Bombyx mori: one gene and its partner. The protein of the gene in region 2 purifies or fractionates together with the protein of the main gene of each other region. This does not show direct contact. Links are inferred from orthologs where the notes say so. Each region holds a gene or a part of one and is shown on either strand. Other genes may lie near its edges.

The links. Proteins that work in one complex are often made in the same cells at the same time.
Region 1: the proteins of wibg (region 2) and Y14 purify together in Drosophila melanogaster (affinity purification with western blotting; 3 studies listed by BioGRID, with this or other methods). This does not show direct contact. The link is inferred for Bombyx mori from reciprocal best matches to the Drosophila melanogaster genes Pym and tsu.

What each region holds. Positions count from the first base shown.
Region 1 is NC_085108.1:4,111,815-4,116,071, forward strand, and holds the start of Y14 (RNA binding motif protein Y14), read right to left. Parts: upstream 2,887-4,257; 5' UTR 2,749-2,886; coding exon 2,688-2,748; intron 2,008-2,687; coding exon 1,905-2,007; intron 1,753-1,904; coding exon 1,635-1,752; intron 602-1,634; coding exon 488-601; intron 1-487. Other genes in the region: uncharacterized protein LOC101745843, read left to right, coding at 4,177-4,257.
Region 2 is NC_085114.1:15,048,735-15,053,027, reverse strand, and holds wibg (partner of Y14 and mago), read right to left. Parts: upstream 2,913-4,293; 5' UTR 2,731-2,912; coding exon 2,694-2,730; intron 2,345-2,693; coding exon 2,075-2,344; intron 612-2,074; coding exon of another isoform or gene 606-611; coding exon 337-605; 3' UTR 217-336; downstream 1-216. Other genes in the region: protein lin-37 homolog, read left to right, coding at 3,440-3,521, 3,981-4,089. UniProt on the Drosophila melanogaster protein: Regulator of the exon junction complex (EJC), a multiprotein complex that associates immediately upstream of the exon-exon junction on mRNAs and serves as a positional landmark for the intron exon structure of genes and directs post-transcriptional processes in the cytoplasm such as mRNA export, nonsense-mediated mRNA decay (NMD) or translation.

The DNA.
Region 1 (4,257 bases), on a different chromosome or scaffold from region 2:
GTTAGATGGCGTATTTTCATTGTTGGTGTCTATGGACTACAGTAACCATTATAATCAAGCGGGCCGTGAATTCTTTCATCCAAACAAAGCAATTAAAAAAGATACATACGAAGTTTAAGATGTATACAGTGGATATCTTTAAACGAGCAATTCTTGTATATTAATATATATGTATATAATTTGAATCTCGGAAACGGCTCCAACGATTTTCATATAACTTAGTATACAGGGGATTTCGGGGACGATAAATCGATCTAGCTACGATTTATTTTGAGAAAATGTTGTTTTATTCGTGTTTTCAAAAATTAACTCTTCCTGACATCTATTGGCGAATAATAATACTATTTTTCTTAATTGAGGGCAACTAACCGCTTTAAAGACACAACAAGATGGCGTTATCAAAAAAAACCGGTCATCATTCAGTATGTATAAAGTGGATACCAAAGCACAGTAAGTCTTATATTAATCAGTAGCACTAAGTACTTACAGCGGCTTGTTTATAAGTCTCGTACTCAACTAGAGCGTAGCCTTTGAGGAAGCCTGTGCGTCGGTCCAGATTCAGATGAATATTCTTTATCTCACCAAACTCGGAAAATTGATTCTGTCAACAAAACAAACTAATATTGTTTCCACTGATCGAATCACCGATCCTTATAAAAAAAGGGTGCGTGTACTTATGTACGCGCGTAAGAAGTTATACTTTATTTTTATTAATTTTTATTTTTTTTTAGATGTTAAATAAATATATTTAATGTTAATAATTTAATAATATTTAGTATGAATTATATTAAAAAATAATTTTGTCATTTATATTAGTAAAAAATAAATGCTAATCACACTTTTTTTTACGAGTGAACATGCGCGAAAGTTCACCTGCGGCTATATTCAGACTCTCCAAGTTACGGCGGTCGTATTTTAATGAGCGATTTAGTGGGCAACTTCATTTCTGTTAAATTTGTGTCACGGTGCGCGTGCATCGTAAAATTTCACTCTCATCAATTTTTCACAACGCGCCTAAAGAACTTCAATAAAATTTGTAATAGTGGTCTGCATATATTCTATGAAAAACTTGACATATTTTTATTAAAAAAAAAGGATTTGTATTACATACTTATTCTATTGGTCATATAATAATTTAATCTTATTGGCAATGTAGTAATGTAGGCAGCGGCTTGGCTCTGTCCCTGGCGCATTGCTGACGTCGATAAGCGACGCTGACCACTTACCATCAGGTGGGCCATATGCTCGTCTACTGCTCGCATGTTGCCTAGAAAGGCAATAAAAAAAACCTATAGTCCTATTAAATTATTATATTATTATTGATCAATACTATTCCACAGATTTACACTAATGTTTCAAAGTGGCTACATTCACATTTTTATGAATATGTCAATGTCCCTATTGATGCGTGTCTATTTACCAACAAATACATTGACATGACAAAATATCTTTTCTTTGACTTAACCTATTTCACATTTCACATTAATTAAATAGGAATATACCTTTTAATCTTTCACATTGTTTTTTTGTAATTATAACCATTTCAAATTAAGGTGTGTCTCAAACAGTAGCTACAAGTAGATACAAAGTGGAAATTTTATCTTCTAAATATAAATAAAAGAAGTTTTAATTGCCTGTATATCTTCTTCTTGTGCTTCTTCATGTACATTACTGACAAACAGGATCCAGCCTTCAACTGATCTCTGAGGTCCTGGTGTACCGCTATCGCCTTCCGGAGCTAAACTGTCGTATCTGCAACAAAACAATACAAAGTTTTGGCCACTGTTGGACATGTTAAGCCTGGTTCGGTTGTGGGTTTTTCCAGAGTGGAAACAGAGCTTCTGTTGATTAGCAAGAAATATTATTATTCAGTACAATGGAAAATGACAAAATCTGTGTATTACCTTCCGCGGTTACCCCGTTCTGCAGCACTGCCTCCACCGGCTTCGTTGCCAAAACCACGACCTTTTCGCTTACGTGCCTTCTCCTTAAGTCTAGCGATTCCCTCTGTAACATTTTTAAATACTGTAATTTTACACTAAATTTTTTTTTTATTGTTGGGTGCATGATCTCACAGCCCACCTGTTGTTTAGTGGTTACTGGAGCCCATAGACATCCACAATGTAAATGCGCCATCCACCTTGAGATATAAGTTCTAAGGTCTCAAGTATACAACGGCTGCCCGGCTGCTACGGCAGAAATAGGCAGGGTGGTGGTACCCACCCGCGCGGACTCACAAGAGCTCCTACCACCAGTATATTATGTGTTATTTTTGGAAATCAACAACATTACAATTTTTAGTTTACTTTAAGCTTAATTTAGTGCAAGAATAATTATAAAACACGTAAGAATCACCAATGTAATGTCCTAAAGCACGAAATATGAAAAAATGGGGAACAAGCAATCTATATGTTAGATTTATATGTCTTAACAAGTCTGGTGTGCATCATTTTGTATGTGTGCATTTAAATTAAACCCAGTGGTGAAAGTTTAACGTCGACCGGCGATAATAACATTACAAATGTAAAAAAAATTCAGTCGGAAATTATAACCTTAATTGAGACAACATTTCCCGTTTTATGTCCACACATAATTGCTTGTTTAAGCTACGAGCAGACTTTACAGATAATGAATAGGAAACAAAATTTGATTAAAATATTTTTAATAATATCAATTGTTCCACTTACGTTCACCATCTTCGTCGACTTCAAATTCTTCTGAATTTTCGATATCTAGCACGTCAGCCATGTTTTATAGTAGATTTACGTTATGAGAAGTAGTAAATAATTTAAATAAAATGTAATTAATAAAGATGTATTTATCTAGAGACCATATGAGTTTAAAAAATCAAAAAGTTACACAAATTAATCTTGAAAACTCCGCATCAAACACGACCACCATAGATTATTCCATAGATTATACACTTATTATATTTGAGAGATTATTCATAGATAAGACATGTATACGACAATCACATTTTTAAAGGACTTTATGACCTGGTAACTAAGACTTTTAGGTCAAGACTTATTTTAATTTTAATGAAAACTTTTTTTATATGAAATATGGCAGGAAATTAAATTGAATGGAAATTAAAACGAAATGAAATGAAAGGAGATGAGATGATATGGGATGAAATATAATCTCAGGAAAATGGTGGACATTTAGTGAGACTTTTTCAGTGCACTTTTTGGAAGATCCCGAGAAATTACGTTCGGCGGCTTTGTTTCATTTTCACACATTTGTGCACTTACACAGTTACTAAACAGATAATAAACCACCGTTATTACGCCTTTAAACTCGAAGAAGCACTAAATAGACAAAACAAAACAGATCACAAAACTTCATTCCTCGCGTTCCCGTCAAAAAGTCCCACAACAATCGTACATCAACGTCAAAAATAGATAATATACATAATAGAAGTGTATTGTATAGAACTGTATTTTAAATGGCATTAAGTCCGCCTTTATACTGTCAAGTTTATAAAGTTATGGCGAAGCTGAAATTTAATAGCCTCTCAAGGCTATCAGAATAAGTAGGAAAAAATAAAAAAATAGCACAAATAGATATCTACTTCAAAAAAAATGTCAATTTTTTTTTTCATAAATATGATTAAAAAACCACCAAAAAAAGGGAAGGATTGCCAAAAAAATTATGTTATATGTATACATTTATTAATCATCATACAAATTTCCTCGAATAATATGAAACTGTTCTCTCTCTCTCTCTCTTCGATCGGTTCCTCACTGCTGAGGATCGTGACTCCGTCCGATTTCGTCAACCAACTGTCTCCATCGATCCCGCCCTGCAGCCCGGTGGAGTGCGTCGCTGATAGGTATCCCCAGTTCCTCCGCTATTTGTTACTTAATTATTATATATATTTATCACTTTCACTTCTTTTAAGTACAATGCAATTTTCAATGATATTCGAAAATCATAAAATATGATTAAATTATTTCAAATATGAAAAGAACTTCTAACTTTTGATCTTTCTTTTTAATTCTTTAGTTGAAATAAATGCGATTTTTAAAATTTTAATATACTCTTTAAGCTTGTGAATTTTTTATCATCTGAAAATAAAAAAGAATAGAGTAATCAAATAAATAATAATCAATGTCAAACTAACTTTCAGAGTTTCAGTCTATTAGCATACATTGAAATGAAATTAGTAGTAAAATCATGAGTGACTGTAATTTATTAGAAAACGATGTGGATGAAAAATTGATAATAACGAAAAAAACTAAAAGTTCTCTTTTCTCA
Region 2 (4,293 bases):
TTATTATATAAATGTAATGAATATTAACTAATAATACATTTATTACTAAATTATTTTGTTTTTTAATCTTACATATCACGTGTCTCCAAAATGATTTTCAAAAAAGTATAGTGCAGGAAATAGGAACTTCTACGTTTCCCACATTCAGACCTCCACACGACTTAGTAATCCAGAGCACAAAATTATGAGACAATTCGAATAAATAACTCAAACACATTAATGTTGTAAATATATTGTATAATTAAAAAGAAACATTTCACTCGCACATCCACCACGACACACACATAACAAGAACATGATAATCAAATGTCTCATAAAATCTTGAATTGCAATAAATCATAGAATACTATTCTCTAAAATGTCAATTTCATTTAAAATTTCATTCTTTTTTGACATTTTCTCTTTTTGATCTTTATCAGGGCTCTTAAGAAGCCCTGCTTTTATTTTTTCCTCTAGAAACTCTATTTCTCTAAGCTTTTTTCTGAGATTCTTGAGGCGTTTTGTCGGATCAGACTGAGATATACTTTCAGTCGGTACTGACTGACTAGGTACGGTTGGTTCTTGTATTTCACATTTGGCAAGTTTTTCTGCAGCTTCTTCAACACCTGTAACTAAAAATTTAGAGTTCATAAAAATCAAAATTCTCTAACCAAATGTTCACTGCAATAATATTGGTTATTTTTAGTGGTGTGATTGAAGATTACATTTAAAATATAAAGTAACTAAGTTCAAAAATTTAAAATGGGTAAAGTATTAAGAATCTTTAAAAATAATGTATCAAAATTTTTGTGAACTATCGGCTTGATAGCTCTTGTCATTTTTTAAATATGTTTTTGGAAGCTAAGGTTTACATATTTACTAAAAATTGCCTTAAACGTTCATGTTCACCAGCCGTGTATGCCAGCAAAATAATAATCTTCTATAATATGAATAGGATAGTATGCTTCCTAATATTGCTATTGAGCTTTTTGAGACTGCAACTTAAAATCCCTAATACTAATTATTCCTCAAAAGTTATTCTGTAAGATTACCCTGTCTTATTCTTTATTTGTGAAAGCTATTCATAAACATGACAATGTGTTGCTGTTTTGACTAGATTAATTTCCCTTAACTGCGTTTGAACTCCCTGTCAAGTGTCCTTCTATATTCTTTGTCACTTGATGAAGCTGTTGTGGCCTAAGTGATAAGAAGCCCGGTGCATTCGTATCAAGCGATGCAATGGGGTAGGAATCTGCAGTCAGGTACCATTTTTTCTAGTAAAATAAGTACATAACAAATGTTCATGATTGACTTCCACTGTGATGGAGTAAAATCGTGTATTAAAAATAAAACCCATAAAATTATAATCTGTATAATTAGTGGTGGTAGGACGTCTCATGAGTACACAGGTAGATAACACCACCCTGTTTATTTTTGTCGTGAAGCAGTAATAGATTTTGCTTTGAAAGGTGGGGCGGGGCAGCCATTGTACTGTAAAAGGTTGGTGGTATTTAGGTTGTAGATGTTTATGGGCTCCAGTAACCGTTTAACACCAGGTGGGGCATGATTTTTTCCAACGAAATAAGAAAAAAAGCATATTTATTACTCATTTCATCCTTAAGTTTTTTTATTCTAAAAATATTATATAGCAAAGCTCTAGATAGTTTCTATAGCCAGGGTGATATTACTGCAGGAATCTAGCAAGTGCTGGAATATTTTCTTTTATGTAATTTAAGAGTACCTAGCGTGCTAGAGGAAGAGCACCAGCTAGATGGGTGGACCAATTTAAGGAGGTGACTAGAGGCCAGATACAGGAAGCGGTACTTATGGCGCAGAACCGGACCGAGTGGAGGAGATTGACATACAGTCATGATCCTCAGCATAGAGGGAACGACCAGAAAGAAGTCACCTCACACAGAAAAGTACCTTAAATTTTTTCATGAAATATTAATTCAGTAAGGACTCAAAGCTTCATTTATTATATATGAGCCCTATAGATAAGCAGATGAGCTCAATGACCATTTGATGATGTAATAACATATTACACCAAGTACCATTTTGCTTCAGGAACAACAAAAAATGTTTTTTTTTATACCTGTCTTCTTTTTCTTTTTCTTCTTTTCAACAGTTATAATCATTCCAGGTATAGGTTGGATAGTGCTTCGTTGACCTTTCTTCTTTTGTGCTTGAGCTACAATCTCAGGTGTAAGTCCAACCGGAAGTCCATCATTTTGCCTGGCCCTGAACTGTTTTCCTTTGCTTTCATACAACGGTACCTCTTCTTGAGGTACATAACCTTCTTTTATTCTTCTCGGCTTGCGCCAGGTTCCATCAGGTCTTTGAGTTGCAGGAATGAATTTACTCCCTTGAATGTTGAAATTTTTAAAAGTTAAGTTTAAATTAATTTTGTAAAGTTTTTGTAATTAGTTTTATCTTTGAAAATCAGTAAAAGTTAAGCTCGATTAGAAATATATAATAGACTGTTAATTAACAATAATAGGTAATATATTTGGATGAAAAATTCAAGTATTTAAAGGACAGTTCTTCCTATAATTATTGTGTGAAACGTTAAACTCTAATGTTTACAAAAAAATCGTATTGTATCAATTAATTCGAATATCTTCAATCACACGAAACGTGGTTAATGTGAAAACTACTAGAGAAAGCGGTGAGGCTTGAAAATTCTTCAATCGTGAATTTTTTTGTACACTAACCATCAGCGTCGTGCTCATAAGCCGTTGGTGTTGACATTATAATACATAAGATTTCAATTTGTATTTCAACATTTATAAATCACGGCAATGTATTCTTAAATAATGAGCTATTTTCGTGGTACTCTACACAGTCAAACCAAGATTCACACAAGAAACTATTTTGACAAATAAAATATTGAACCGCTTTGTTTGACACATAACAGAGGGACCATAGATTGTTACTTTTTACATATATAGCACTCGGTTTCTTTCTCTGCCATCGTTACTCGTGTCGAGTTTGATGGTTTAATTTTATTATTTCAAAGATACATTAAAATACTTTGTTAAATGAGAAATAAGATTAATTTATCTGAAATAAAATGATATGATACAAAATTAAAGGAAATAGTATGCTAGTAAGATGAGAATTGACTGCTATTTTAGTTAACTTTTGAGAAAATATCAAGAATTCTCGTCTAAATACTTATGAGTAGTTTTTACATGAAAAAAAAACATATTAAAATCCACTATCGTCACCTTTTTTAACTTATCCTATAATATTATATCCTTTTTGTAACTTCAAGATTTCTCCAAAAAAAAAAACAGCATTCAACAAAAAACACGAATGTAGACCCAAAGTTAGAGTAGCCAATGGCCTTATACAAATTAAAAAAGAACAAATTAAATATACTGTGCACATCTCATTTGTTTTGATTAATTATTTTAGTTATTTTAATTTTAAATAGATTCAAGGAGCAGGTTTAAAAATGCGTAAACGAAGAAGGATTTTCACTCCAATCAAAAACAAAGGAAAGAGTATAACGCAATTCCCTCAAATTTCTAATAAAGGTTTGATCAACATAACGAACTTTAATACACAATTGTAGGATATAAAATTTTCCTGATATGGTAGTCTCGTTGGTTGGTGGTTAAACTTTTAGCTTAGGGGAGGACCATGTTCGATTTGAGTTTCCTTCAATAAAGATGCAGAATATTGAATATCGAATATAAATTCTTAATTTAAAAACGAATTTTTTTGCTGAACTGTTTTAAATTCAAAGCTTACACCGGATTCGTATCTATAATTATCTATTGTATTCCCGCGTCTAGTTTATTATATATAATGTCAGTCATCATAAAATCACTAACACGCTAGTAGTCGAAGATCCTGATAAATGCAAAGTATTTAAAATGTCGTGAAAGTAAGATACGCGTGATTAGAGCGAAAAAATAGTTACAATTACATCTTTTAAAAACTGAAGAAAATAGTATATCACATATTTTAATGTTTTTTGTTTAAACAAACAGTAAAAGAGGTGACAACTGCTCGAGGGAGGCTGCAGGGAGCGTTAATGGAAATATTGGAACCGGCATTGGATTCTGATGACTCTACTGAACTTACACCAGGGAAAAGAAGGTATTTATTCATAGATATCTATTATACATTTTAAACTAGAATTGCATTATATTTAATATAGTTTAAGCTAATAAATAAGACTGAGGCCATTGAGACTTCGAGGAGTTTGTCATGATAGTTGATTGATGAAAAATCAAACTAGACACAACCATCAACGATTAAGATCATGACAACAGAAGAAAAGTAGACCAGCTAAAATTAGAT